3 linked regions of the Drosophila melanogaster genome follow. The gene in region 1 interacts genetically with each later gene. Each region holds a gene or a part of one and is shown in the gene's direction. Other genes may lie near its edges.

Region 1 (10,889 bases):
TAACTAGCATTACCGCATCAGGATGTCATTCTCTTACTGCAAGGAGTACGGCAAGGACAAGGTGATTTTTGTGACCAAGGAGGACCATGCCACGCCCAGCACCATCGAGCTGCCGCCGCCGGAAAAGCCGGAGGGCGTGATCACCAAGGACGGCAAGATCAACTGGAGTTGTCCCTGCCTCGGCGGCATGGCCACCGGTCCCTGTGGCGTCGATTTCCGTGAGGCATTTTCCTGCTTCCAGAACAGCACCGCCGATCCCAAGGGATCGGACTGCTACGATGCCTTCACCAAGATGCGCGACTGTTTCCAGAAGTACCCCACCGTGTACAACAAATCTGGCGGTGATGACGACGACGATGATGGCTTGAGCGAGGCCTTGGACACGGATGCCGGTTCAGTTGGTGGCCAGAACGCGGATCCGCTGGCGGATGTGGGCAACAACGGAGGCGGCGATGAGCTGGTGTCCCCCAATAGCAGTTCAGTGGTGCCCAAGGCTTAGGTGGGAGTACATAAGATAAGAGCTAGGTGTGACTTCGTACAAAATAAATAAAACTTGTCATTAACTTCAATCCATCCCCACACTATCGATCGTGACTGGGAAACATTTATCAGCCAGATAGTCTGGAATTAACAGAGATATTGTTGAAACAGCATAGTGCTTATTTCAGAAATAAAAGATACTCGTTTTCTCAATTAAATTCTCGCTTTTTTTACAAATAGCGAAATACACAAATAAAAAAATGTAAATGTATCTTGTATTCACTGTAGCCAATAGGCCGTTATTTCCATATGTTGTGTATTTCTGGTATATACTCGAAGCGCTCCCACCTCGTTGGCAGTATTTTTCCACCCTGCTGCCACACTGTTTACGAAGCAGCAATCAAAGAAAACGGAAAAATAAAAGCGTATTAAGATTTCGTGTGGAAAGGAAAAATGCTGTAGGCGCAGTGTAAAATGCATATATTGCGGATAAATCGCGTTTGTGAGATGCTTAAACGCGAATTCAACATCAAGTCGGTGCAGAACTTCAAGGTGCAATAACAAAAATATCCGAATTATCGAAAAAAGCAAAGTGCAATTGGCCAGTTGAGACTACAACCACAATAACAACGACAACAACAGCAACAGCAGTGAAATAATAATATAACCTTGTGTTTTGTTTTTTGTGGCTCAAAAATCAGATATACACAAAGTTAATCGAGGTGAACGGTGTAAAAGTGATTAAATAATAACGGTTTAACAGGAAAACAGAGTTATAGTGTGTGCGAGTGTGTGTGTGCGTAGTGACAACAATACAAACGCAGAAACCAATACAAGCGCACAATAGTTTTCATACATAGGAAAACAACGAAAGTAACAGCGATAAATAATAGAAAACAACAACGAAGAGTCTCAAAAAGTGCTGGAAAAACTCGCGATAAGGAAAACAGGAACCTCCACATCGGCAGATCTTTTGAATGCTGCCGCACTTTGAAATCCGGAGACACAATGGTTTCATTAATTGACACAATCGAAGCGGCGGCCGAGAAACAGAAGCAGTCCCAAGCGGTGGTCACCAACACCTCCGCCTCCTCCTCCTCCTGTTCCTCTTCGTTCTCGTCCTCCCCACCATCTTCGTCCGTTGGCTCCCCATCTCCTGGCGCCCCAAAAACCAATCTCACGGCCAGCGGCAAACCAAAGGAGAAAAGAAGGTGAGTCACACGAATCTGCAATCCGGATACCGCCGATCTACAATCCCATCCGTTGGTTGGATCTGCCTAGATCGCTTGTTTGCCCATTGCATAAGCGCCTGCTTTCTTTTTCGCCCGCTCTTCGTCGCGATATTATTGCTCGTCGCGGCTTTCGTTGCCATCCGCCGCTTCTCGCGTTTCTTCTCAATTTCCTAGTGCGTATGCGGTATTTCGTTTATTTTAACAATCTGGAATCAGAATGTTGATACATCAATGGAATCTAGTGCCAATCGGGAATCCCTTACGTACAATGTTTATTCGTTTATTTTCACAAACTGGACACCTAACTTACACATACATTTCAGTCTTGACATTTAATTTATATTTCCACTCTATTAATTAATTAATTATCAACATTGATTGATTTTCTTTCGTTGAGGTCCTCATGGGTTTCGTATGCAATCAGTATCTTATAGATGAGTCAACCTTACTGCCTGATTTTGAGCCAAAAATAAGAGCGCTTTTAACCCTTACGGGAGCGAATTGCATTTCACTTAATGAATTTCAATTCCCGCCTGGCTGGAATTTGTGAACTTCCCTCAATGGGCGTCACTAATTGACGAAACAGGCATTGGGATATAATGGAAAGCCAATCATTAATCACGCGTTCAACTAATTTTTGCATTCGCGGCAATTATTATACGATCGATGGCGACGGCGAATCCAATGGCCGAGACCCGCGACCTTCAGGCTTTCAAAGACAAAAGTCGAGACGAACCGAAATCGTTCAGTTTGCATATGCATGGTTGGTTTCCGCTGTGGAATATGATATCTAGGGGGTATACGATAGGAGAATGAGTGCCCATTGCGGCAAGAAGAGAGGCCTGAAAACACTTGTTGCTATCTTGAGAAGGTTTATCCTTAAAGGGCTCACAAAGACAAGCCCCCCCGTTGAATGCGATTTATTTTTAGACGAGTGCATTGTTCTCTTTTTCCTTACGCACTTATGGGTTATTTTTAAGTGAGGCGAAAACCCAAAACACAATGAGGAAAACCTGTTCGATTATGCTGCCCCCCCTGCTCCAAGATCAACCCGTTTTTTTTCCTCGTGTTTCGTTTTGTTGGCTTTGTTTTATTTTCGTTTTTGGTCCACGCCCCTCCGAATACTTAAATTTATTTATTTTATAAGCCCATAAACCGATAAGTTTATGTTTCACTCAAGACATTTACATTGGATTGAAACAAAGTTTCGCTTTGGCCTACGTGACTACCGTAAAACTGCAGTAAAATAAGTGTGGAAAAGCCGAAAAGCGGTTCTATAACCATTTTCAAAATGCGCTCTAGCTTCGATTAGACCCATTGACCGACAAATCGAGTCTTTCCCATTTGTTCCAAACTGGTTCCAATGTATTTTGCAGTGTGACACATGAAAACAATTGACTTAAGTCGTCTCACCATGTGAAATACGTCAATTTAGATTGTCTTATTGCATTTTCCCAAACATTTTGAACATCGATTTTTCCGATTGTTCATCGCTAACCTTTTGCCTATCGGTCGACTCTTTCGATTGCAGCACACGCGATCTTGAACAGATCGTAACTGCAGCTACGGTGTGACCTCAATAAAAGTGAATTATTACAAGTTGACTTGGTTGGCGGAATTTGGAGGAGGAAAGAATCTGAATCAAGATTTTTCATGTTTGTTTTTCTATTTACGTTATTTCTATAAGCTGTTAGGCCTGCGCCAAGAAGCTAATGAATAAACTTAAAAACAAGTCGGCAATAAATAAATTTCAATACCAACGCAGAGAAACGCACAAAAGTAAAACACGCTTACACACAAGCATGTGTGTATTGTAAAATATTTAAATGATATGCCCTGCTGTTGTTATTGTTGTTGTTGTTGTTGTTTCATGTCTGGCCACGACGACCTACTTTTTGCGCAATCGAACTAAAAATGTGACGATCCGGGGAGGATGGAAACGCCCGAGGGGGTGTTATGGTGCTACTACATATATATTGTATATGTAGGGAGAAAGAGAAAGATGGATGGCATTGTATTCAAGTATTAGGCTCGTGGAGTTATTGTTGATCTTCTCCTTCTTCTCCTTACATGCTTACACTCTTGCTTGCTACTGGAGCACTGAAAAAAATAACTGGTAATCAAATTTCAAATAGTAAAATCCGAAGTTCAGTCGCTCTCTTAGAAAAAGATAAATTAGTCTTACTGTACCATATTCAATATATTTGTCTATTAATTTTCTTTCTCTGTATGAAATTGAACTTGATGCAGCGAGAGAGACGTATATAAGCGGAGTGAGGGAGACAGCGTGAAGGTAGCGCAGCTTCCGAATCTTTTTCGTTTGTTCAGTTGCGTGTGAGGTCTATATGCATCGCATTCGGTGTAAGTTATGATTCGGCAATTGCTGGCAGGGAAAGTTTAAATTTATATTTAAGGCGATAAATTGGAATCAGTCGCTGAAAATTCCCCACAGGTTTTGTGAAATGAGCAAAAATTTCGGATTAAGATTATTGCGAAACCTGTTTGGAAGTCATTTTTTTGCTAACAACATTAACAAGAACAAAGGAACTTCTTTCTTGGGAATGGATAAGATCTTTACGATGTTCTGTTGTAAACAGCTATTCCTTTGGATTAAGTATTAACCACTGGTCTTGCCACAACTCAATGAACTTCTTACGACATCTTTCGAATTAATTGGTCGTCGTCGGGTGTTACTGTAGCAACCTAAAGGATTGACAGACCTTCTATAAGATAGTCCTTGAATGATGCAAGATGAGACCATAGCTAACGATCACAAGGACTCCTGGCAATCTGCAAAAAGAGAAGCCCAAGAAGCTCACAATGTTAATAACTACTTTTACTGTTTTTTTATATGAAATACATTTAAACATCGAAATAGTTTAGTGATAGACGGGTGTAGCATAAACAGGTAAACAAGGGGTTATCGTAGTGATTTAAGTTGACCCTGCCTGTTCCTTTGCCTTCTCCACGAGCTGATTACATTGCGATTTGATTACGTTTGCTTGGTCTGGGGAACTAGCTTCCCTTATCTCGTTTCACTTTCCGTGCTGTTTGCCAAACTAATCCAAATATTTAACTCCTATGTTATAGTTCTTATCGGCCGACTAGGGAAATCATGGATAAGTCTGATAGTATTTAGTCATCCAAGCAGCTTTTCTCGCACAGTGAAAAAGATCAATTCTCTAATATTTCTTCTCATTTTGTGTGTGCGAATTTTGGTTAGTTTTCGAAATACCTAAAAATGGTTCATCAGTTCTGCGGTTAAATACTCAAAATTTTGGAATATTATATCAAATTTTCACTTCGAAGTGAGTGGCACTGTTTTCTCGGTGCAGAGATTCTAAAATTATAACATGACTTTGCCGTGCACTGCACTTTGTGAGCGAGGGAAATGGGCGGAAAATGGGTCCTGGACGTGCGGAAATTTTCCGGCGTCGCTGCAAAGTAGACTATATGGTCCGAGCCAATTATCGACTGAAGTGGGGCGCACTGACATAATTTATATGGCTCTAATTTGAATCCGCCACTCACTCGATTCGCTGTTATCGTCCCATTGGGCAGAACCGAAGCGCTGGCTCCCTGCCACCTGAATGCTTCTACGAGGCGGGCGGACCGGACTTTATCTTATCACTCCGGCCGGAGCGCACTTGTCCGGATAGGCAAACTTGTCTGATAGCACACGGAATATGACGTTCACGTCGGCTCTCCGCTCTTTTGCGATTTTTTTTGGTGCGGCTGCCCAGGTATAAATATGATGGCTTCGAGGCTATGGAACCTTTCGCTCATTTAGCGCTCGAACTCCCGTACGTCGTGTTCTACCAAAATATCCGGAGCAGTGAAGTTGTGGCCAAATCAAAACACTATCAGCTCTTATCGCACGCGTGTGTGTGTTCATCATCGATGGGCTTAGCCGGATTCCAGCGCACTCAATGTTTAATTCCTTCGAGAGCTGCGATTTTTCGTGTACCGGCGACATTTCGTTCTACGGCGAAGATGTGATCCCCGGTTCTAGTTTCTACGAGTGCGATTCCAAGCCGCAGCGGCAGCGGCAGCTGAGCAGAAATGGCCCAGCTTTTGGGCCAATGCCCATCAATGAACCCACTGTGAACTTTGGCAACGGGTCATTCTACAATGGCCCTGCTCCCGGAAGCCAACCCTTCGTGGGCGCTATGCTCGGCCCCAATATGTCCTCCACTGGGATGCAAAGGTACCATCCGTACCATCAGCAGCAGCCCCAGGACGCCTTCTATCGCCAGAGGGGATCGCTTCTGAACGTGGCCACGCCCTGTCGCGAAAGCCGCCCCTGGAGCTACGCCTACTGCTATGGCTACGCGCCCACGAACACTCAACCTTGCCAGTTCTCCCAGTTTGTCGACATCGAGGATTTCATGTGAGTGACGACCAAAGTGGTTGGTCAATTTGTTGTTTTGGGTAATTCTGTGATTTTGCGTTTTTCACGAAGGGTATTCCTTAATCTCATTATCAAATAGTATTCAAGTACGAATATTTACACAATTTTGCTTAATAATTGTTGTTACATAACTGTGGAGAGCTCTAGCTCATTCAAGTAAACAAAACAAAAACCAGTTAGAATCGGTGGCCGAATGCCGCTAGCGATTTACATTTTCCTGGAGGCACCTGAACGAGCTGAGCTCCTAGAAAATTGGCCGTGTTCCATTGTAAAACCCGAGCCGAAAGCAAACGGCGCTGCACTTATCTATGCTTATTTGTGAATCGCTTTTATAATAATATTTAGATACGCAGCAAAAGATAGGGCGAGGGGGACGGAACTATGGCGCGAGAGAGGTGTCGTATGAGTCAAGGTTCGGTGGGTTATTCCCAAGAGAGGTACCGTTTATAAGATTGTGGGCTGGAAAAGACTTTTTCTCTCACTTCGATTGTTGCGTGGAAATAGTAAATTGCTTGTCAGTTGTGCTGTTGTGTAATTGTTATCTGCCGCCGATGATTTTATGTGGGGTATTTCCCAAGGAGTTATCGTTAGGGGTCTGCTGAAGGTTTCACAATCCATCTGGTTGATGTATACGATTATCTGGCGATTGACGCAGATTACAGCCCCTTTCCCTGGACTTCACCTCCTTGAAAACTTTGCATGCAACGTGCGCAGCAAGCAAATGTTTTCGTAATGGTAGTCGGATTTGGTTTATTTACGTTTTGCACACGTTTAAGCCAAATTCGGCTGGCCCATCTCCATGCTAATGAGCCGAAACCAAACTGACGCAATTGCAGGACGGCGCTGCCCGAAGAACTCCACCCACAATATGGTGCTCCCAAGAAGAGACCAAACATCCCTGACCCGCTGTTGCGCCTCGATTTACTGTCCCATGAACTTGGCATTAGCACTTCGAGTCGTATTTTATGTGTTTTCGCTGATATCTCGCCCGGAGATACGGCGCACTTGGAGGTAGCTTGGCCAACATTTCGCAATGCTCGCAATTCAAACTCAAACAACAGCGGGTCAGTATCCTAAGGTGTTGTCGGATAAGCCAGCAGGACTTAGATGGCCACGTGCGGCGATCGTGGTGTTTGCATATTCAAACTCATTTCATACACAAAGTGCGGAAAATGGTATCTTAAGATCAGCATACTACATCATTATAATCATCATACGGAAGGGTAGTACACATATTAAGGTGTGCTTTCAATATTATAGCTTAATTTTGTTCAGTGTTTTGAGCTGCTTTGGAGCGGAAATACTTAGCAACAACAACAGCAGCAGCACCAGCGGCAATAACAAGGCAATTCTGCTGGCGCAGGCAGAATATTTAACATGCCGTACTTGCCTCTGTTCTAATGAACAGACAATGGGGCCGATCGAAAATATATATATGTATGTGCATACCTCCCAAACCAAAACCCCACCCCCCCGGCGAATATCCCACCATTTAAGCAGGCCATTAGCATGCAATTCAAAGTCACTCTCCGCCGCTTTCTATGGGCCACGAGCTAGCAACTATCGGATTTGTGTTTATTAATGCATATATAATATATATAGAAATCCACGGGTCTACGCCTATATTAGTATTCACTTTGCTGGCGAAGTAATATAATACTATATAATAATTATTTGAGCAGCCATTCGAGTTTCGCTTCAAACTTTGGTTTCCATCCATCAGTTGGTTGATTGACAATGAAAAGCCCTCTTATCTAAACTGGTTTCTGTTTTATTTATTTTTGATTTATTTGAATGCATTGTTTCTTCACTTTCACAGAGTTTCCTAATCAACGTTTTATCTGGGCGTTCAGAATACTCTTTTAATAATAGAAATTCTTTCGAGTGCAAAGTCAAGTTTAGCATTTGTTTATGTTAAGATTTCCTCTGTTTACAATCGATCGATTAGTGGGGTCCTATCTCATATTTAAATATGTCATAATAGAAGATTATGTTCAACAACTAAGTAGTTTGCTTCGATTTATTCAATTTATTTACTTACAGTAAAAGAAAACGGGAATACTGTTTTTAATAGATACTTAAGCCATTATTAGACAGGCGGCAGACTGACAATAGATCATATTGTACTGTGACTTTGTCGGCTGATATGATGGACTTTTGATGATTGCGACTCCTCCGTTGACAGGCGGTACTTAGGGTTTGTTAACAAAAAAGTTTGATATTTTCGCGTTGTTACCGGGCAGATTTTCCCAAGTGAACCACCTGACGTGTTCAGGTCTTTTTTCATCCCAGCGGATCAATAAAGCAGCGTTGGCAAATTTTGAACAAAATGCCAGGAAATAAATGTACATACGTGCTGAAATGGGCGTCACCCGTGGATTATACAAGTTCGCCCACTATATCGATAATAAAGAAAATATTAAGAGCCACGAGTTATGTTCTTGCATGCGGCTACTCAAGAGATTTTCTTGGCAGACTACAGTTTTTCCGCAGTCCCGCGGGAGGGCCATCCGTCTTTTCTTAGAATTTCCCGCAATATACTCGTATTGGCATAAAGATAGTGTCAGTCGTGTGTGTGAGGTCAGTGCTCTGTCGTCCTACAAGTGTGTACGATCGATTTGCCTGCTTGGTTGCCGATTAAAACACGTCGCCAATGTAGACGAGTCGATACCCAGGGTTTAAATGGGACTTACTCATCCAGCGAAGACAACTAACTCTGCAGAGTCGCTAATTGCCAAATCATCGGTGTTTTGTCAATCCCCTGGCGAAATATTCCAAAAGACCACCACCACGAAAATTGGTGCCAAGGCAACTTAGCCACTTTTTATCAGTGGAACGTGTGACTGCCGGCTATTCTCGGAATCCGAAACAGACGTTATAAACTATCTAAGTCCCCGGGCTCTTCTGCCAGCTCGGAATGCACAGGTATCCATCCCAAGGGAGGTCGTCTCTGTATGTCAGGATCCTCTAGGCAATATTGGATTTATTTCGAATGTTTTTTAAGACTCTGTAGATGAGGAATGCGTAGAAATTCCTTATCAGCATCGTTGAAAAGAAAAATACTTTTACAAAGTCGCGACATTGAGATTCTTTTCAGATATGAGGCTTTATTAGAATTGAATATAATTTATTGTTCTGCAGTAGTATTTTGATTACCAGCATTTACTTTGATCTTCATCTTTATTTATTTATTTGTTATTAGTTAGTGTTTTTCGAAAAGACGGCTAGGAATAGCTGCCGAGAACTTTGGCGCCGTGTCGATCGACTTTTGTTTTTTCGCTCGACCTGGCAACAAACGCGAAAATTACAAGCGTTTTGCTTAATTGAAAAATTGCGAGCTCTGGCCGCGTGAATTGAATCAGAAGCAATCAAACGGGTATAAAAGTGCAGCCATGCAAATGCACGCATATTTCAGGCAGCCTCCCCCGTGCTAGATCCCCCCTTTTCCCACTGATCATTGGCGTACGTGCTCGTTTTGAGCTTATGCTAATTTTCCATCCGATCGATCTTTGCAGGAACAATGAAAAACGCAAGGAAAAGTCTCGCGATGCGGCTAGATGTCGTCGCTCCAAGGAGACAGAGATATTCATGGAACTCTCGGCTGCTTTGCCATTGAAAACCGACGATGTCAACCAACTGGACAAGGCCTCCGTGATGAGGATCACCATCGCTTTCCTCAAGATTCGCGAAATGCTGCAGTTCGGTGAGTTTCCCTTAGGATGTGAAATCTTTGTTAGCACCATCTAATATATTACTTATTTCAGTGCCCAGCTTGCGCGACTGCAATGATGACATCAAGCAGGACATTGAAACTGCAGAGGATCAGCAGGAAGTCAAGCCCAAGCTGGAAGTGGGCACTGAGGATTGGCTCAACGGAGCTGAGGCCAGAGAGCTCCTCAAACAGACCATGGACGGATTCCTGTTGGTCTTGTCCCACGAGGGAGACATCACCTACGTGTCCGAAAACGTAGTCGAGTATCTGGGCATCACCAAGGTAAATGTATCCAAATACTTCATTGAAGAAGATTCTAACTTGCTCTCAACTTTGCGCAGATTGACACACTTGGCCAACAGATCTGGGAGTACTCGCACCAGTGCGATCACGCCGAGATCAAGGAGGCTCTCAGCCTAAAGCGTGAACTTGCCCAGAAGGTCAAGGATGAGCCGCAGCAGAACTCTGGAGTGAGCACCCATCACCGGGATCTGTTTGTGCGCTTGAAGTGCACCTTGACCAGTCGTGGACGAAGCATCAACATCAAGAGCGCTTCGTATAAGGTGAGCTAAATGAGTTTGAGACACCATAGCACCAACTAACCCATGCCTTATTGGGGTTTTCAGGTCATTCACATCACGGGACACTTGGTGGTCAATGCAAAGGGCGAACGTCTGCTGATGGCCATTGGCCGACCAATTCCGCATCCTTCGAACATTGAGATTCCGTTGGGAACTAGCACCTTCCTTACCAAACACTCCCTGGATATGCGTTTCACCTATGTGGATGACAAGTGAGATACATACAGAATTAAAGACGCAAATCCCATTTTAAAAACCATAACTGCTTAGGTTTCTTTTTGAGGGATTGACTAATTGCTCTGCCAAAAGTGGCACTTAACTATCATTTACTTACTCATAATGAACAAGCACAAATTAATAGATTACGTAAACATATTAAGCAGCCTAGAAAAGCATCAAAATGGGAACCCGTCTAGAGGATAGTAACATTAATTCTCATTTGTTCCCTGCTTTGATTTCAGGATGCATGACTT
Region 2 (11,032 bases), about 25 Mb from region 1:
ACCCGTAACTCAACTGTGGGATTGCATACAAAACATTTCTGTGGCGAATCAATAGCAATAGACAAGGAAAATTTATCGTTACTAATAAGAAAACGAAAAAGTGTGGGCTGGACAGTTTCGCTAAGTTTCTGGGAGTTCGAGTGGGCGAGGCAAGTCGATAGAAATTTATAAGGCTCATAATAAATAACATTTAAAAGTGTGGGCGACGCCGTATTGTTCGGTTTGTGGGCTGGCTTTAGAGTGGGCGTGGTAACAATGCGGGAAAAAAACTTGCGATGCGTCTACGTCTGCATCCCTAATCTCAACTTTCTTTAGTGAGATCGAGATCGAGGCGGTCATATTGACAGATGATCACGGCCAGATCGACTAGGCTTTTGACCCTGATCAAGAATTTATAGGATATGAAGCGTATCTATCTACCCTTAACACCCTTTTCAACGATTAACGTATAATTTATTAAAGAATTTGTATTCATTGAACCATAAATTTTAAGACCACTTAGTACCATCCTACTACATATATACAAATAAACGATAATGAAAGTCTGCATAGTTGCTGTCCGATCATAGCAAGTAATTCATCAATTAAAGCGTAGCCCAAGGAGCACGCGAAATCTAAAAAAAGGCCAAAAAACATAATTTCTTTAATTGGTGCTGGTAAGTGGCAAAAATTATACAAAATTCTTGCTTAAAATCGCATTGATTGATTCCCCATTTAAGCACTCAGTACGATTTGATTTAATTCCCTAACTTGTAATGAATTTGAATAAATAAAAAACTCCTTACTTACTTATTTATTTTAAAACCATATCATATTAAAACTTGGTTAACTACCGCTTGATTGGTGTATGACTTGTTAGGACCACAAAATATTTTTTTGATTTTCTTTACAACTTGGTCTGCGGAACTTTCACACAAACATCAGTATATCAATCAATTAATACATTCTGGGGAAGGGTATCTAGCTTACTGGGACCTGAACTCAGATTTTCCCAGCCCTTGCGGTTGCGCAGACGAAGTGCATCCGAAACCAGGACAGCAATGCGGTGCGTGACTTGGCGAATGGTGTGCCCAAAACGGAAGTGCACAAAAACAAACAGTGGGAGGTTACCGCTGGCAACAACAGTATGTTGTGCTTGGTATTGATAAAGCGCGTTTGCAACAATTAAAGATTTTCCAATAGGAACACTTCAGCTTCCCGCAGCATGAGCTCGCACTATCTGAATTCCTGTGTGAAAGTGCCCATCGATCCGTGCAATAACTGTCCGGCTCCGGTATACAATCGGCCCAAGCTCAGCTCCCTTGGTGGAAAGAAGCCGACCGACCAGGCTCACATTTCGCAGCCAGAGGCAGAGACACCTGCGTGGAGCAGCCAGATGGGGGTCAGGTCCCTAGCTAAATTCTACGACAGTATACCTGGTGAGTTCAGCTTGGAAATGTCTGCACCTTGAAATGTAATCTTCGGGGTTAGTATTTAAAGGATTTCTTGCTCTTCCGTTTCAAATTCAACTTACCTTGAGTTTTGTCCTTCATTAGTCTTTGAATGAATGTGCAATGATTTAAAATAAGAAAGATGGATAATTAGAAAGACACATACTCACCACAATTATTTTGCTTTCCCTAGACTATCGTGATGTGAAGCACCTGCACCGAGTTGAGTTCTACTCAACTCTGGAGAGCCTGCGAAGCACCAGCCGTGAACTGCGATCTCAGGCAGCAACTGCTCCAACTGTGGAGCGAAGTGCCAGTGTCAGCAGCTGTTCTGTGGGTCATGGAAAGTCTAAAAAGCGGCCTTCCAAGGGGAAAAAGATAAAGAAACGTCCTTTGGTGCTGGATCCTGTTCCTCCGCCAGCAATCTTAGTGATCCCCGGCCAACAGGATAGATGCGCTACCCGCCCAGTTGTCCATACTCCCAATTCCAGTTGTCTAAGCGACGAGTACGACCAGTGCCTCAGGGACTTGAGTCGTCTGAAAAGTTTTAAGGAGGACTTTGCAGTGGAGGTTGCGGATTTCAAGAGGTCCCTTAAGAGCTTCGAAGCGGAGTTCCGCAGGCCAAAGTCCACGAGCAGCAACGGAACTCAAACACAAACCAACAAGCAAAGTCAGACGCAGAACCGCTGCCAGAAGACTGCCAATCCTGGCCAGCACACGGCAGAACGGGCCAAGTGCCGAAGGGAAATGCTGCGCAGGTGCTTTAGTGTCAATGATCTTCAAGGGATTGCCTTAGAGGCTCATTCGAAGCCTTCCAAACTAGCTCAGCCTGCGCGAAGCAACTATTTCCCACTCAGCAAGCAGGAGGAAATTCCCAAGATACAGATTCAATCACCCACCACCTCGTCGAAGCGAAGTAGTAGTGCTTCCAGCGCAGCAAGAGGTCGAGGAAGACGCGGAAGAGTAAGGAAACCAAAGCCAGGGTCTAGCGTAAAGGATGAGAAGCCACTACCACCGCTGAGCATCTATGAGTTGCCGGAGGAACCGGTCCAGAGGAGAACGCCCAGTGTGTCCCCGTTGCATCCGGTATCTCGTCCTAATCTAGCGGCAACTTTGAGGGCTGAAGTATCTAGGAAGAAGGTTAAGGAGCTGAAGAACAACTGCACTTATCATGATCCTCGTCCGCAATTCGATTGGGAGGTGAGGAAAACGCCGGCTTGGAAATCACTGTCCTTGAAGTGAGTAGTTCACCAAATATTAAGTTTCGCACACATTCAGTGTTCTTTCTTTAGCGAATCCCACAAGGCACTGCTATCCATTCGGTTGGCCACTCGCAAGGCAGAGCAGGCTTTTCAGGAGCGTCAGTACGAACTGCATATGGAGATGATGCGTCAACGGGTCAAATCCGCTCCCCTTCTTCTGGAAGGACCCACGTTCTGGGGTCCAGAAGTGGGCAAGCTCACCCACACCTGCCGGACCGAGGAACTGCGTCATTCGTGCGAGGGGAGCCGGCAACGTAGGAAGAAAAAGTCAGAGTTTCCTGTTCCCGATGCGGATACTAAGCTGCAGCAACTGCGTAAGGTCTATGGCTCAGAAAAGTCCTGTTCGAGGCAGTCTCAACGAAGCAAGCGGTCCGAACGACGGCCGCAGGGGCTCACGACCGAGACGCCCAGCCACGACAGCGGTGACGACCTGTGCAGCGCAGATCGAGCTTTCCTCTAGAGATTCACCTAATTCCCAAGCACATAGTCACAATATATGTATACTTTTTTGGAATGACCTAAGCCTGGGATTTATTGACCGGAACTTTCAGGTTGTGAAGTGGTTTAAAGTCCGGAATCAACTCGAATCCAGTTTTTTGATCGTCTGCTAGGGCGGCGTTTCCAGGACGCTTCAGAATTATGGCTTGCAAGCCCGCACAGCGAGCGGCGGCCGCTTCTAAAATATAATTTCACATTAAAAATGTTACGGATGAGGATTCGTGTGGATCAGCCACTCACCTCCTGGAATATCCGTGAGAAAGAGTATCTGCTTCGGGTCCTCCTTCAATTGCTTGGCAATGTTTTTATAGGACTGCTGTTCCTGTTTGTGGCCCACATGGGTGTCGAAATAAGCACTCAAGTACGGCTGCAGGTTCCCGGCCAAACTATGACCGAATATCAGCTTTTGGGCAGCCACACTGCCGCTGGAGTAGACTGCAATCTGGAGGCCAGCAGCACGCCAAGCCTCAAAAGCTGCAGGGACGTCTTCGTATACACTATAATAACATTTATAGATAATTAATTAATTATCAATAATAATGAGTTGTTGCGTTGTACTTTTGGTTACTATGTTGAATGTTATCTGATAACTATTGAAATCAGCAAAAGTTAAACATTCCCGTGCGGAGAATATAGCTAGCATACATATTTAAAAAATCACCAAGCTGTATAATTGGATCTCAGAAAGACACCCAAATTATTTTTGGGAACAGACGTTAAGTAAGCCTTTTCTTTGATAACCTTCTAGAGTTCAGATTGTAAAACTTATATGGCCATGATAGGAGAATATTGAATGGGGAACTTACTGGCCCTTCAGCTCTCCATTAGCGTAGCCCTGCGCCCAAATCAAGCCCTGCAGCGTTTTCATTGGCGTGACCTTCAGATCCTGATCAATTAAATAGCGCACAAAGCCTGCAATCAGATCTACATCCACTTCCGTAGGTGGACCACTTAACAGGGCCTTGTAGTCCGCATACTGGGGCACTTGCTGTAGATCCTGGACAATACGCTTTATATCATCTTCTTCCCACGAATCCCTCAGGAACTTTTCCACATTCTGCTTGGCGTAGGGAAACAGGACATCGTGCACAAAGCTAATCGAAGTGGTGGTGCCCTCGATGTCCACCAGCACCACTTTGGCCACTCGTTCACTGGACGACATTGCGCTTATTAGTGGGATTAAGTTATCACGAGGAACCAGTTGATTTTCCGCCCAGCATCTGTTTAGTTTTGATAATGGAGATGGCACATCGCGCTATCGACTATCGACTTTAAAATATATATATATAAATGTATTGGAATAGACGATAAGGGTATTTGCCATTCTTAGAGACCTTGCTTAATTGATAAACGATCGACTGAAGTTGTATTAAAGTAATTCTTATGGGGTTAATGGCCGCTTTGAGTTAATTTTCCCAATAGCTTTTTGTTTCCGAATCTTGTGCAATTAAATATTAAAGCTAGTAAATAAAAATAGCGAAATAAAAAGCTTTGATTACCGTTAGTATATAAGTGCCAGTATAAAATAATCACCACTAACGTTGGCTCGTTCAGCTATCGATACCTACTGCCCGCCGGTAATAGTGCTGTACAACGAGTACATGTCAATCGCTGCACGCTAAGTATCGGTCGACGCCCATCGCTATCAAAAAGAAATTTTAGTGCTGAGTTAAGAATTTTTCCCTTTTTTTGCACAGTTTACGCGGTTTTTATAAACAAGGGGCGTAATAGAGCTCAAGGCAGGGTATAAAACAGTCAATAGGGTTAAAAGTTGCAACCCTAAAACGTCTTACAAAAGAGAATACTCGCAGGAAAAACCAACAACAATGCACATATAGCTGCCCGTGCGTCTGTGTGTGTGCGTTGTATGTGCGTTTTTTTTTGTTTATTTGGCAAATTCGGTGGCCTACGTGATTAAAATAAGCACAAACAGTCTTAAGTGAAATGTTGGCTAAAACGCCCGAGTGCCGTAATTCGCATTGATAACAAATAGCCATAATCTGCGAGCGTGTGTGTGTGTGATTGCCTCAGTTGGCGTAGGTGAGGTGGGGTAAAAAAAGCTGGGAGAGCTGTCAAGGTTAAAATCGGTCGTCGCCTTTGGCTCTCCTCTCCCGCAAAATGCAATGAGCAGGGGTCGCGGAAAGGTCAGGGATTCAGCAAGCCATTCCGGCTCCCACTCCGCATCCAAATCGGCCATGGACCCGCCGCGCTGCTCCATCTGCGGCACTCAGCAGCAACTACTGCGCTGCGCCAAGTGCAAGGCCGTCTACTACTGCTCCCCCGCCCACCAGCATCTCCATTGGCCCGACCACCGCACCGAGTGCCGCCTCCTGACCCGCCAAAAGCTCAACAGCAGCAACAACAATAAGCAGCAGCAGCGGCAGCAGATCCAGCAACTGCAACAAGCTGTGGCATCTGCCAATCTGGAATGCAGCGGCGCCGGCGCCAACTGCTCCACCGCCCAGATGATGACGCCTGCCCACCAGGCGCAGAGTTGGCCCGCCGAGGTAGACAACCTGCTGAATCTCCTCGGGCAGCCGGGCAGCCAGGAGAAGGCTGCAGCTGCGGAAACGGAAACAGGTCAAAGGCAGCAGCAGCACCAGCATCATCACCATAATGGCGAAAAGAGCTCCAGCTATCAAATCGGTCTGGCGGATGCCAGCTTCATGGGATCAGGAAGGTAGGTCGTCAGTGGACAGGTCAGATGTTTCAGTTTCAACAGTTTTATGCTAAAACATAAGTTAAAAATGTATAATACTATAATACTGCTCATGGTGGCACGCTAGAAGAGATATATTTTTCTTAGAAGCTCTTTTGAGCCTGCATAGTGCCATAGTATTTTATTAGATGCAATCAAATATCAGCTGATCTTTTATTGAAGATGGAAAAATATTCTCCATGAGATAGAAAATCATTCCTTGTACCTACTGGGCTTTTAAAAATAATATAAGATTAACGCTGAATATCGAATTAACACTTAATTTGGAAGAAGCATGGGAGGTTGACTTAAAACCTTAAAAGCTTTTCTATCAGACAATTTCGGCCAGCTTTACCAGATCGACCAACGAGTGCATTGGCTTCATCAGTTGCCCCAGTTCCTTACCCTCCACTGCGTCCGAACGCATAGGCTGCTGCATCTTGTTGTGTGCCCTGTATGCCCGACATTCATCCAACACCCGCTCTAACTCCGCCCCAGTTAGGTTCGAATCAGCAACGGATGTCTCCCACTGGGGTCTCTGCATTTGCTGGTCAACAGTGATTAGGGACTCCTCTGCTTTGACTCCTCCATCCGATGCATAAATCGTAGCCACTGCTGCTCCAGCTCCTTCGAGCATGGCTAAAACGAGGCAGCCCACAAAGGCACTGTTGGCCATGGCTCGAATTCCATTCCGGGCGGCTAAAATTCCGCCAGTGGCCGCTCCGCTGACAATCGCGTTCCAGGAATCCTCCCTCTGGCGGTACGAGACCATGACGCAGTCCACCGTGCTGAAGGTGGCGCCCCAAATGGCAAAGCTGCCGGCTATGGCCGGTGTCCGCAACCTCACCGATTCTATACCGCCGTGCAAGCCACGTCGAAGACCGGACGGAGCGTTTCGGAATCCCTTGAGGTACTGAAACAACGATCCTCCCATGGTGCCCATCATAAAGGCGCACCCGCAATCCTCTACAATCCTGATGGGACACGGCTGGCGATTGTACTCCATGTTCGGGTGATGTACTGACCAAAAGAATCCGTAATTAATTCAAAACTTGATTTGTAGTGAACTTTCCTTGTTTTGCGAATATGTGCTATCAGCTTTTGACCAATATGGCCTTTGATTAAAAACGTGTGTTTATAGATTATACATAACTTTGAGAATGTTGCCTTACGACTTTTACGTCCGTTCTAACTAGATACAAATATTTACCAATGGTCCTACAAACGAAATATACAGTTTGTCAAGAAACTGTTTACACACTGTGAAATAAGTTGAATTTTTGACTTTAAAGCTAAAAATTAAAGGTTTTTTGCTTAATTAAACGCATTTTTTTTATAAAATATAATTAAACAATATTTATTTTACTTATAAATCAAAAAACAAATTAAAAATATTAAATATACAAGAAAAAAAACAACAAATTCCAAGTTTAAACACTTTTGAGACTGTCAAGAAACTCTTTACACAAAACACTAAATCGATGTTTAATCCTAAATTTTTAAATTATTTTATTAAAATTTTAAAAGTTTTGGTATGTAGTATGTTCCCCATTGGCTTTAGCTACAAGTTGAAGCCCTTTTTTCATGGATTGGACAAGTTTTTGCAGGTCATATTCAAACGGGATCTTTTCACACTCTTCGACTATTACAGTCATAAGCTGTTGTTGTGTTTTAGGTTCCTTTTTGCCACCTTCTTCTTTAAGTAGGTCCACAAATTTTCAATGGGGTTCAGATCAGGACTCTGAGGGGGCGTATCGATCACTTTACCACAGTTATAAGGGCGCCAGGTGCGTACATTGCACTCTTTATGTTTCTGATCATGTCCTCTTAAAATATAAAATTTGGCTTGTTGTTGCTAACTAGATCAAATTTTTCTGCACTGGCCTTCAAATTTGTTTTTTAAAATTCCTAGATATTGCACGGCAATTATTGTGCCCTCAATTAAGGCTAGTTTTCCCACTCTACGGCTGGTGATACAGCCCCAAACCAACAGTGACATTTTTCCAAATTTTATCGTTGGAATGATATTTTGTTTTTCTAGCGCACTCAACGGTTTGCGCCATACTCTGCTTGGCCCGTCGTTATAAAAGAGCATCATTTTTGTTTCGTCACCAAATATGACGTCATCCCAGTACTCTTCCGCATGATCCATCATGCTCACTGCGAATAAATGACGCTTTTCAATATTGGCATCTGATAGCAAAGGGTTTTTCCTTGCAACTCTTGAAGAGTACCTATGGCGTAGGATGACTTGGCGCACAGTTTCGTGTGACACAGCTAGGTGACATTCTTGCCTGATATCTAGAGCAAGTGATCTGACCGAGATTCGGGGGTTCGCAATCACTATTCGCATAATAAAGCAGTCTACACGCTTTTTAATTTTAATTTTCCGCCCACCACCACTCTTAGGTTCAAGCCTGCCCTCTTTTTCCGAGCCTTTTAAAACATTGTAGACGGTCTTACGGGATACAGGAAACATTTATACTAATTCTGGAAAAGATTTTTCCAACTGGTGGTTATAGTTTATTAATTGGGTAACTTCAAAAGTTAATCTCTTTCCAGGCATTTTATTAAATTTAATAATTCGCTTTAAGCACGTTTGATCAGCAAAATTTCACAAGCAAAGTCAACAAATTTCAATAGAAGCGTTGTAAAAAGCAATGCAAAGCCAAAAATAACGGAAAAATCGAGTTCGTTCTAAGAAAAAGAACAAAACAAAGTAGGAAAACAAAATGTGTAAAGAGTTTCTTGACAGTCTTAAAAGTGTGTAAACTTGGAATTCGTTGTTTATTTTCTTGTATATTTAATATTTTGAATTTGTTTTTTGATTTATAAATAAAATAAATATTGTTTAATTATATTATTTAAAAAAATTTCGTTTAATTAAGCAAAAAACCCTTAATTTTTAGCTTTAAAGTCAAAAATTCAACTTATTTCACAGTGTGTAAACAGTTTCTTGACAACGTACATAGATCGAGCAAAAACTTGTACAAGAAAAATGCCACTCAGATATTGATGAGTTATTTTCAATATCTTATTGAAAACATCCAAATGACTCGGTAGAATAGATTTTCTACGTTTTGGTGCAAGCTTATCTTGAATTTGATTAGCCATGATTTCACCTGATAACTAGTTATTAAATGTAACTGAACCAAGCACCGCGATTAGCTAGCCGACCGCACACTTGAAGTTGCGTTTGCAGTTTGTCCCGGAGCGAAATCTATAGCCCCAAATATACCCCACTAGGTGCATCCTCCTGCTCGTAGCCCCCTATCGTCTTCACTTGCACATCAAGTCAATTACGATAAGCGGTTACGTGCCCACTCCTGAGAAGCCTCACGAATCAACAGCAGAACATGACACAGCTGATGACATATCGCTCATATGGCGCTGAAGTTTATGGTTTTCGCGATCCTCAAGCTTCTTCGCAGCTGATTTATTGGTTGTTGATATACAGCTTATACTAGTTACCTCGCAAAAGGTCCTATAACACAAATCAAAACATTGAATAGCACTGCTAGATCATCTTAGATCGCTTGGGTGAATTAGTATAATTGTATTAGCCAAACCATGGCTCATTTTGGAACTGCTGCTGTTAAAGTATACACAAATCATATGATATAATATTACAGGTGTTCAAGGTAAAGCTTCCAATCCAATGGGGAACCAGGAAAGGACTCTTTAGGAGACAAACACTTGGTGTTGGTTTTAGATTGATGTCTGCACGTACTACATAGGCTGTCCGATATTCTCAGACGTAAAAGTTTAAAAATAGAAACAGTTTGTTTTCCCATTCAACTCATCGCATTGTCAGATGAGATTCGTAATTGCCCTGCGATTTGACTGTCTCCGGATTGCTAACATTCTGCTCCGAGATGGCACCTCTCGAGTCGAGTATTTATTTACCTTCGGCATTACGTGCCCGGCCGCATAGTGTATATGGCACCCATGCCCGATCTGATAGCACCTGCAATCGCAGCCGGACTCGCATTCTTCCGGGCGGAGGTGCTGACTTTGTAATTATTCTGTTGCGCAGTTTGTTGCGTCCAAATCTTTAATACTCGCTTATTTATTTTGCTTTGCACCCCGGCATTAACGAATACAACAAACATGAACCGCACACATCGGAGCACATATAGAAATTTGTTCGTAATTTTATCTTTCAGCCAATCCGGCTGAGTCATCATCAACCCCACACTGTGCAGTAAATTATTTTGTGTTCCTGGATGTGCAGTTGTAGCTAATAAGTGCAACATATGAACTAATTCAGATAACTTCCCACCCGATAGTTATGATATTTTCTTTTTACTTGGATACACAAATAAAAGCCTTCATTTTTCTATGTTACTGTTGCAAATCGATTTTGTCAGGTGCAGTATTTTCTACCTTCTTATCGCCCGAAGTGGGTGGGTGGTCCGTTCGGCCGGGAGGTCCGGAGCGTTTTGCCTACGTGCCGGGAATACGCAAGCGTATCGTTCAAATCGTGTTATCAGAGTTTAGCGAATGCCTTAGCTCCGAGATTTCAATCTGCGGCGGGATGTGTTGTTCTTTATCAAACAATTAGCGCAGTCGGACCGACGTGATCTCATTTCCAGGGGCTTGCAAAATTCCGTCATTGTTTAGAAATGTGCTAAAATACATGTGTCAAGCAACTTGCTGGGAAAAACAAACAATACGGTTGCGCAAAACTCGATGAACAGAAAAAGTCGAAAAAACCGCATCTTGTCGCCACCGAATTCCAATTTGAATCAGCAATATTGATAGGAAAAGTCAATATGGAATCAATCCATTCGCGGATAGTTTGCTCTGCTACTTTTTGATTTGCCTAAGATTCAGCCAGAATGCATTCACCTTAGCGTTGCTCACCTCATTTTTTTTCATTTCCGAACTTGAATGTCTAAATGTAGTTTTGAAAGCAGAGAAAGTGCTTTCCAGTTTAAATCAAATAAAGTTTATTTAGATCGAATATCTTGCGATGTGAACTATGCAACCATTGGAAACATTAGAAATATAAAACTATTGCAATGGTATTTAGTTTAAAAATATTCGTAAATTTCCTAGGGATTTCCTTAAAGGTTCCCCTTTTCTATTTATGTTATCCACTTCCAATTGGGTGTAAACCCATGTCTGTGGTCTCCTTCAGC
Region 3 (9,750 bases), on another chromosome or scaffold:
GCGGAGGCGGCGGATAGGCAAAGATGTCGCCGCCGTTCGCCATCATATAGGGTGCCGCCTGCGTGGGCACTGCGTACGGGGCGCGGTAAGAGCTGGCCACCGCTGCAGCTCCTCCGTTGAGCGACACGGTTGCCATGCTGGAGGACATTGAAGAGTACTGGCCATAGGCCTGTGGCTGTTGCATTTGCTGCTGCTGCTGTTGCTGCTGGGGAGTTTGCAACTGTTGTTGCTGTTGCTGCTGGGCCGCCGCCGCCTGCTGCTGGTTCATCGCTGGTGGTGGCATGTTGGCAAAGTTCATGTTGTAGGGCGAGAAACGGGAGCGCTTCTGATCAACTCCGTAGTTTGCAGCCGTCATCGCCGCCTGCACGGATGCATCAGGAAGTAGGTGTTGCTGCTGGGCAGCCTGAGCCTGTTGCTGCTGCTGGTGCTGCGCCTGTGGCGGTCCAGATCCCGGACCATTCTGCGGCTTGTTGGGCTCGAAGCAAGCAGCATTGGGATTGAAACGAGAGAAGGGCACTCCGCCGTTCTGCTGCTGCTGCTGCTGCTGTTGTCCCTGGTAGCCACCGCCTCCCTGGCCACGGTAGCCGCCCTGTCCGCCCTGATTCGGCGGAGAAGTGCGCGGCTTCTGATCGAAGCGTGGTGGTCCGCCAGCGCTGCCGCCGTTAAAGGAGTTGCGATTCATGGTGGCGCCGGGACCATTGTTGTTGCGGTAGTTGTTGCCGCCATTGTATCCACCGCCCATCTGGGGATTGCGGCCCTGATAGCCATTGCCGCCACGGTAGCCGCCACCCATGCCGCCACCGCGCTTGTTGTAGCCACCGTTCATGGCCATGTTCATCAGTTTGGGATTGATGGTCTGCAAACGGAGGAGGTGAGTAAATTTGCCATCGAAAGGATTGAAAGCTACGAGGAGCACTCACCTGGTTGGCCTCGCGCAGCACCTGGATCAAGTCGTTGGCCTTGTTGGCGTTGGAATGCGTAAACAGGGTGTAGGCGGTGCCGGTGTTATTGGATCGTCCGGTGCGTCCAATGCGATGAACGTAGTCCTCCGAGTTCGAAGGATAATCGTAGTTGATCACAAACTTGACATCGTCAACGTCTGTTTGATTTCAATAATATTTTTCATTTCGAATTTGAAAATTGAAGAATGTGAAAAGAAGCGTTAAAATTATCAAATCGAAGCAATGCGTCGAAAATAGGAATCTTTCTCAATACTCAAGAAACTATTTAACAAAAACAAAAAACTTATTTGTGTGCTTGTGTGAGTGGTGTCCGTTTCTGTCTTGGTGTGTGTTTTCATGTCATGGTATTGGTATTAGTGGTTGTTTGTGTCGGTGCGATCATTTGTTTTTCTTGTTAAGTTTGTTAATAGAACTTAAAATACATTTTTGATCGAATTGTCGAATGGATTTTGTCGGTTGGTGTTAGATCGGTTTAAATTTAAATTTTTTTTTTTTGGTATGGTTTTGTACTTTGAACAAAAATTTCGCCATCAATACTATTAGCGTATATTAATAACAATACATCTTTGGCAAATAGACATATGTTCTTTTTATACTGCAGAAATGTGGACCTCGACCTTTTCTTCTCATCATACTTTCTTTTATATCATTTTTGAATACACAAATCGTAATATAAATGTTTAAGCTTAATGCATACAAGAGACGGCTTGATTAAAATTAACATTATAAATAAGAGATGTACATAAATGTGAATGAATGATCAAAGCTTATGATAGAAGGGTGCTGATTTGGTTTAAAAGGAGGAACATACTTCGATGGAAGGGAAGGGGGAACGAGGATGCGGGCATATTGCTATGATTAGGAAGAAATAAATTAGCCTAGTACTTACCCTGGCGATCTAGGGTTAGAATATGGGATTAGAATTAGGCTTACGAATAAGAGTCCCTGGAGATGGTGTCCTCGCAACTGGGCCGTGATGATGGAGATCCCACGGATCTCCGCAATGCTAGAAACTTATAACTCAACCCTCAACTTGTATATATAGCTTTTCTCTTTAACTGCTTTGTGTATATAACTTTTTAACTTTGAACGGGTTTTTTTCTTTTTTGTCTAGTTTTGCCATTTGAAAAATCGAAGTCCATTTCATAAAGTGCTGATGATATTTTTGTTCACACACAAATTTAGGTATTATACATAGAGTAAGGAGCGACGTAATATAGTATACTAGGTACTTTATGATACATAAATAAGCTACAGAAAATTATCATCAGTCAACAAATACTTGGGCCGCAAAATGTTGCAAATGTTACTCAACACATTAGTTACTTCACATTGTTCTAGAAACTAAATAAAAAAAAAACTTAAGATATATATATATAGTTATAGTTAAGGCACGGTTTAATCGCTTTGGATTAAAGGTTAATTTCTTTTGGGTGCACTGAGATTACTCTTTAGTTTGGGTTTTTTGTTTTAAGATTATTTTGCTGGCCATTGACTCCTTGACTGACAGTAAATCGCTTTTTTACAATTAAGTTACTCAAAATGTGATTGACGAGACACAACTAAAAACTATGAGCAAGAGAGCAACAAACGAACTAAAAGTAACAACATCATATAACCAGCAATGCATGGAGAACAAACACATTCCCCTCATTATTTGAGCCCACACCTTTTCTTCGGATTCGTAGAATCATTCAGCAAACTAAAGGGTTCAATAAGTTAGACTTAATGGTCCACCCGGCATCGAACCACTCGAAAATGATTGAAAAATAATAAATGACAATTTTTCGGCTGCCTACAGATTTGAACATGCAATTTAAAAAAAAAATACAAGCGGTCCTTTCCGGTTTTCACGTTTACCAAATAACATTCTTTGATAGATGGTAACCAGTAATGAGCTCATTTAACTCCGCATAGCTACCCAAAACTTCATTTAAAATATAACATAAAATAAAAATTTGTTTACAAATATTTAACCCCCATATCTAACCCCAGTTAATTTCGAACACAGCTAGGCGAAGATTTGCGCTAGAGCTCTTAGATTAGGCTACTGTTTACCCAGCTTAATTAAATTAAAATGAATACAAACAAAAAACTATGAGTATTATTTACACACTGAAGCAAGCGAAGATTCCATCAATGGACCCCAAAATGGGAATCATGCGCTTTCAGCTTCAAATCGTGAATAGCTTGTGAAATCCGGAACAGACCCGAAACGAAAAACCTCCAAAGTTCTGGAAACAGAGCGGAAGGAAGAGCGAAGAGGCTGGGCGGTGTTGGCCGATTCATCGCTGACGGATCGCTGAGACCAGACGAACCAGGAAGGCGTCGACGACGAATCACAAAATAATGAATGAAACCCCACGGGATGCTGATTGATCCACAGGCAACAATTGCTTGGTTACGGAGAGAAAAAACGAAAGTTGGCCCCATTTAGGGCCCCACAAAGGCTACGTATACTCACCGAGTCCGCGGGCAGCCACATCGGTGGCCACCAGTATCGAGTGCCGGCCATTGCGGAAGCTCGAGAGCACAAAGTCGCGCTCCTGCTGCGACTTATCGCCGTGGATGGCGCATGCGCGCCAGCCCTGGCGGGAGATATTGCGCGTGATCTCGTCCACACGCTTCTTGGTTTCCACGAAAATGATGGTCTTGGTCTCGTTCTCCGCCGAGATGTCTGTTAGCAGCTTGATCAGCTTCATCAATTTCTCATTCTCATCGCACACGTCCACGATCTGGAGGATGTTGTGATTGGCGCTCAGCGAAAGCGAACCAATGTTCACCTGTATGTAGTTATTAAGGAATTCCTCGGCCAGCTGGCGCACCTCTTTGGGCCAGGTAGCTGACCACATGAGTACCTGACGGTCCGGTCGGATCTGCTGCATGATCTTTCTGATCTGGGGCTCGAAGCCCATGTCGAGCATACGATCGGCCTCGTCAAGCACCAGATAGGTGCATCTCTTCAACGAGGTGGTGCCGCGCTCGAGGAAATCAATTAGGCGACCTGGTGTGGCAATTACAATCTCCACGCCGCGCTCCAAATCCCTAGCCTGCTGTCCCTTGGGCGCTCCACCAAAGATGCAAGTGTTGCGCACATGCGTGTTGCTGCCAAACTCAATGGCTACCTGCTGGATCTGCTGGGCCAACTCTCTAGTGGGAGCCAGGACCAGGGCGATGGGTCCATCACCGCGCTCCAGGCGCGGCTGGTTATTGATGTGCACCACCGCCGGCAGAACATACGCCAAGGTCTTGCCCGATCCGGTCTGGGCCACGCCCACCAGATCCCGTCCACTCATAGCAATGGGCCAACCCTGGGCTTGAATGGCCGTTGGCTTGGCGAAACCCTGCTTACGGATCTCGTTCATCACGTAATCGGGAAAGCCGCCCTCCTCGAATTCAATACTGGGTGTGGGCACCTGATCGCCCTTGATGGTGATCTCATTGCTGGTGAGGAAGGTCTCTGTTTCACCGACAGTCCTGGCCAGCACCGAATCGCACGGCTTGTAAAAGTTCTTGCGGAATGGCGTAAGATTCACCTCAGACCAAACGATCTTGGGCAAGTGAGCGCCATGATTGGAAGAGCGCTGGCCCCCGTTCTGACCACCGAATCCATCCTGGTTGCGTGGTCCGCCGGGTCCCATGCTAGGACCACCACCGTTCATGCGTCGCTGTCCACCGTTGGCGGGTCCATGACCATTGAAACCTGGGTATGGGGCCGAGCGATTGCGCTGGAACATGCCCGCTCCGCCGGGTCCGCCACCGGGAGCACCACCGCCCATGCGATTGGGCACCATACCGCCGGCTAGGCCACCAGCTCCTCCGCCGCCACCGCCTCCGAAGGCGTTCATCTGTCCGTTGTACCTGCGACGAGCGTTTTGTGCCATAAAATTAGAATTTTGAGCCCTTTAATGCGTTGCCAAAATGTTGAAATTTACACGAAGCGACCTTTTTTTATGTAATTTTCATTTTTTACTGCCATTTTGAATTTATTGATTTTCGACACTCGGCCCCTGGCCGCATGCTAAACCGAAATTTGGGCTTAAAAAATGTGTGCCTGTGTTTCAATACTCACATGTTCATTGCTGGTGTGATGTAAGTGGAAATATAGCTGGCCAAAGTATAGTTTTTTCGGTCACTTTTACAATTTTTCACTCCACAATTTTTTCAGCTTCTACGTCGTCAATAGAGCTGTGGAAAAAATCGGTGTTAATATCGATTGGTTCGATAGGTTAGGTTTTCTGGAAACATCGATTGAATTTTCTAGAAACGATCACAACGAATAGGGAAAAATGTCAAAATATTTGTTAGTAGGAAACTTTTAATATATAAATAATTATTGTGAACGTTTCTAATAATAACAAATTAAATAAAAATAATAACTGAAAAGAATATGGAACACTATTAAGAGCACTTTAGAGCACTATGGTTGCTAGTTTGTAGTTACTTCGTTGTCTAACCAGTATTTTTTTAATGCGGCACCGGTAATTAACAATAAGAACTATTAATTTTTTAAGCAAAACAAAGACGTCTGATATTGTTTGTCTGGAACCTATCGGGTAAAGCAACTTCGATAATAATGGTCAGCAAGAAAAATGTGACCAGCCTATAGAACGACCCAAAAACCAAAGTGTGGACATAAATTGGAATATTACAGTGATCGCTCAATGTAGTTAACCTGTAAATTTCTATCTGTAAAGTAATAACTAATAAACAAGGTTCTAATAATGCAGTTAAAATATAATTTATTATTATGTAATTTCCCTTCATTTGTTAAGTATCTTAAGCCCGCAATTATGACATACAATACGTGCCAAATGGTTTTCGCTTAATCGTAGCTCTGCTGTACTTCATAAGGTAAATAAACATGGCTCAAGCAAGGGATTCTTAATTATCAAGTTCAAGCTAGTTTAATTCAATTTGGTAGCCATGCGCACCAGTTACAAGAAAAACAGACCTTTCGACTTCAAGCTAATTGATCTGGTGGAACCCAATCCTGTGCTCTATAAGAGATCTGGACTCTCGAACTACGATGCCATGAAGGCGAAAACCGATATCTGGGCTCGCATAGCCGAGATGATGGGCTGTGATGGTAAGTCAGCTAATAAAAGAATAAGATATATATATTTAAAGTTATAATCCTCTTAGTGGACTTCTGCCTGATGCGCTGGAACAATCTGCACTATCAGTTTCGCAAGGAGTTTCGCCGCGCGGACACCAGTGGATCCACCTGGCCGTACCTGGAACGCCTGCGATTTTTGGCCGAGATCCAGCCGCCCTCCAAAGTGAAAACCAAACCCAAAACAAACAAACAGGAGGCGACCATCCAGACGGAAACTCCTGTGCAATTTTTGTGGGACACTTTTGAGGATGGGGATGTTCCACAGCAGTCGAGTACGTTCATAATCGAGGAGGTCATCGAGGAGCCCAGTGAACAGATCATCCAAGAGGAAATCATCTACGAGGAACAAGAGCCCGCTGAAATAATCTCGCCCAGAAGCAGCTTTCTCCAGATGGACCAAATACTGGCCCAACTAAAGGAACCGCAGCGGAGAAGGGCAGAACGAAGGATTACAGCATTTCTGCTCAAGTGCCAGCTGCGTGCCTTGAGTAATCAGTCCGTGGAGGACCTTAGCATCTAGTTTCCAGTTCACATACTCTCAAACTTTATTTTTAAAAAACAGAATATAACTAAGATTAAACCTTGCACTTGTCCAATTCCAACCATGCCACTTTCGGCTTGACAATGAACTGATCGCGCGGCAAACTGTCCAGCATGCTGGCCTGCTGGCGGACGTACTTCACCAGTCGCTCGATCTGCGCGTAATCATCACAGTTCATCTCGAAGAAGCGGCGCCACAAGGCGCAGGCCAAAACCCGATCGTCGGACATGATGCCCTCGTCGTAGGCGATTAGGGCCGCTTGGAACTGCTCGGATAAGGTCTCGATTTGCTGACGGGTGCGTGAAGGATTGTGAGCCTGTTGGGAAACACATATGAAGAGCATAAAGATTATATATATAAAGGTGAACTAAAGTAAAACCTACTCCCAATTTCTTGGCGCGTGTGTTAACATCTCCCCACATCGCCTCCACAATGCAGTTGCGCAGGAAGCGTCCATCCTCGCCCGTTTCGGAGCCCTCGGCCATGGAGCGCATCAGGAGTAGCCAAACATGCAGTTCGGTGACCAAGAACCAGGAGTTAAAGGTATTGGGCAGATTGAAGTCGCGGAAAAAGGTCACATAGTTGATCTTGTCGGCGACGCTTTCGTACAGCAGATGACTGGTTACCTTGAGGCGCTGAAATGGGATCACTTCGATGAATATTAATCAAATGGGCAAAGTAATCCGAGTCCTACCGCCTTTGTGTTCGGTGTGAAGCCCACTTTGTTGAGCACTCTCTTCAGAATACCGCCTTCTGCGGCTTCCGCTGTGCCGGGTTTCGTTTTATTGGTATTATCCACAACGCCGGTGGATGAACACAAGCGGCATGGCTGCTCCAGCAGTCCCAGTATCGCTGGCCTGTGCTTATACGTATGTTGTGTTGCCTATAATATGTTTAATTTAAAAATTTTATATCCGTTTATATAAGAGTTGATGGCGGTGCATTCGGATGACCGTGTTTTGACTAAATAAAGTACAACCCCTGCTTTAAACATACCCATGCGGTTCTCGCTAGGCCGCCGGCCAGTCTTGCAACTGCACGAGTGCACTGCATTCTTAAATGTATCCTAAATTTACTAAAACAAAATCGTTTAAAAAATCCAATTGCACGCGACAACAGACTAAAACAGCTGATCGTAACGGGGCTGCCAACTTGGGTATAACGACATGTTAACAGTGACTTGCTAACATATGATTAACAGTAACAGATACAAATCTTTGTAAAGAAAGAAAAATGTTTTTTTTTTTGCATGTGAAAAGTAATAACTATTACTTTATTTTTTATATACTTTAAACCTTTGCAGTCTTAATTCATAAAATCAAGAAGAGCTTACATTCGGAAGTGGTGTGACCGCATGAAGTTATTATCCGTTCATAACAGTGCAAAACGGTCTTACTATCAACTTCCAGTTGGAAATGTAAATAAATAAATAAATAGAAAATTTAGAGCAAAATAAAAGAAAGTATGATACGTTTGGGGAACCAAATGTGCCGGCAAGTGGCCTTTAATATACAGACTGTATTCCGAAACCCGGGCACCGCGAACAATCCGAGATTAATCACCAGAAAGATGACACAACAGCGACCGCCGGTGAATTGGACAACCAGTATTCCCAATCAGGCGGCGAAGGACAAGGAGAAGATAGCTCCTTTGGGATGGTTCCTCCTGGTGGGTAGACACCAACTCCTCTACCTATACACACAACTAATCCTTGTTGTCCATTAACCAATCCCCAGCTCATACCGGCCACCACTTTTGGCTTGGGCTGCTGGCAAGTGAAGCGCAAGATTTGGAAGGAGCAGTTGATCAAGGATCTCAACAAGCAGCTGAGCACGGCGCCTGTGGCTCTACCAGACGAGTAGGTTTGCCCACATATTCTCCACTATATACCCACCCACTATAGTGTATTCCCTCCTGTAGTCTCACTGACTTGGCCCAAATGGAGTACCGCCTGGTCAAGATCCGTGGACGTTTCCTTCACGACAAGGAGATGCGCCTGGGTCCGAGATCGCTGATACGGCCCGATGGCGTGGAAACCCAAGGAGGACTCTTCTCGCAGCGCGACTCGGGCAATGGCTATCTAATAGTAACCCCTTTTCAGCTGGCAGATAGAGAGTAAGTTGTGCTCAAGGAAATCCCATAGAATCATCTTAATATCGTTTCGCCCCCAGCGACATAGTGCTCGTCAATCGGGGCTGGGTGTCCCGCAAGCAAGTGGAGCCGGAAACCAGGCCGCTGGGCCAACAACAGGCGGAAGTGGAGCTCACCGCCGTCGTGCGCAAAGGAGAGGCGCGTCCGCAGTTCACACCCGACCACAAGGGCAATGTCTATCTCTATCGCGACTTGGCGCGCATGTGCGCCGCCACAGGAGCAGCTCCTGTGTTCCTGGACGCCGTCTACGATCCGCAAACGGCTGCACATGCTCCAATCGGTGGACAGACACGCGTTACCCTGCGCAACGATCATCTGTCGTACCTGGTGACCTGGTTCAGTCTATCGGCGGCCACCTCCTTTTTGTGGTACCGCCAAATAGTCAAGAGGATACCCTTCTGAAAAAGGGAACCCAAATCAAACGCACTGTTGTTATTTTTATTATAAAAATTTACATGCTCTCGTGTAAATGCTGGTTTTTATTGGCCCGCCGCAGGAGGGGATTATTGTCCTGCTGGGACTTAATATTGCAACTACCGATCCTCGAGTGGCGGATCGACAGGGGAATAGGAATAGGAATATGAATACAAATACGGTTCGAGGGTTTCCCTTGCGGGTGTGCCTAGTTGAATACTTTAACTATTTAGAAACACACTCGTTAGTTTGGGTCGATATGGGGAAAGCTACATAATATTATATTGTCTGATCAAAAATAGTTACTACGTTTTATAACTTTGTGGTTAATCAATCATTGCCTTATGTTGTTCAAATAAGTAATTCGCTTTCTAGTTATATACAGAAATGTTTTAAAAGCTTATATCCTTTAGAAACTAATATACAAAATGCAAGAATTCAACTTTACTTTTCACTTAAAACTGACAGAGTCCTCTGATGATTTGAAACGATTCTATTCTCCTAAACATGATTCAACTTAAGCTTAATCGACCCAATCTAACATACACTCAGCTACAGAAAAG

What was found.
Region 2: of sima (region 1) and Hph, changing one suppresses a phenotype caused by changing the other (phenotypic suppression), as found in Drosophila melanogaster (one study listed by BioGRID).
Region 3: of sima (region 1) and Surf1, changing one suppresses a phenotype caused by changing the other (phenotypic suppression), as found in Drosophila melanogaster (one study listed by BioGRID).

Annotation. Positions count from the first base shown.
Region 1 is NT_033777.3:30,057,437-30,068,325, forward strand, and holds the start of sima (uncharacterized protein), read left to right. Parts: upstream 1-5,485; 5' UTR 5,486-5,641; coding exon 5,642-6,102; intron 6,103-9,638; coding exon 9,639-9,826; intron 9,827-9,887; coding exon 9,888-10,117; intron 10,118-10,176; coding exon 10,177-10,398; intron 10,399-10,461; coding exon 10,462-10,628; intron 10,629-10,877; coding exon 10,878-10,889. Other genes in the region: Rpp14a (ribonuclease P/MRP subunit p14 a), read left to right, coding at 1-7; CG7950 (uncharacterized protein), read left to right, coding at 23-499. UniProt on the Drosophila melanogaster protein: Functions as a transcriptional regulator of the adaptive response to hypoxia. Binds to core DNA sequence 5'-[AG]CGTG-3' within the hypoxia response element (HRE) of target gene promoters.
Region 2 is NT_033777.3:5,252,252-5,263,283, forward strand, and holds the start of Hph (HIF prolyl hydroxylase), read left to right. Parts: upstream 1-4,785; 5' UTR 4,786-5,313; coding exon 5,314-5,870; intron 5,871-6,084; exon of another isoform or gene 6,085-6,219; coding exon of another isoform or gene 6,220-6,894; exon of another isoform or gene 6,895-6,908; intron 6,909-10,274; exon of another isoform or gene 10,275-10,441; intron 10,442-11,032. Other genes in the region: CG1113 (uncharacterized protein), read left to right, coding at 1,205-1,418, 1,624-2,668, 2,723-3,152; Enoph (Enolase-phosphatase), read right to left, coding at 3,211-3,368, 3,431-3,687, 3,997-4,352; Tim17a2, read right to left, coding at 6,220-6,894.
Region 3 is NT_037436.4:6,950,347-6,960,096, forward strand, and holds Surf1 (surfeit 1), read left to right. Parts: upstream 1-7,999; 5' UTR 8,000-8,086; coding exon 8,087-8,290; intron 8,291-8,358; coding exon 8,359-8,480; intron 8,481-8,542; coding exon 8,543-8,737; intron 8,738-8,793; coding exon 8,794-9,175; 3' UTR 9,176-9,240; downstream 9,241-9,750. Other genes in the region: CG10077 (uncharacterized protein), read right to left, coding at 1-856, 921-1,099, 3,427-4,823, 5,035-5,042; CG9948 (uncharacterized protein), read left to right, coding at 5,889-6,051, 6,108-6,601; Uqcc1 (Ubiquinol-cytochrome c reductase complex assembly factor 1), read right to left, coding at 6,657-6,938, 7,006-7,257, 7,317-7,505, 7,619-7,675. UniProt on the Drosophila melanogaster protein: Probably involved in the biogenesis of the COX complex.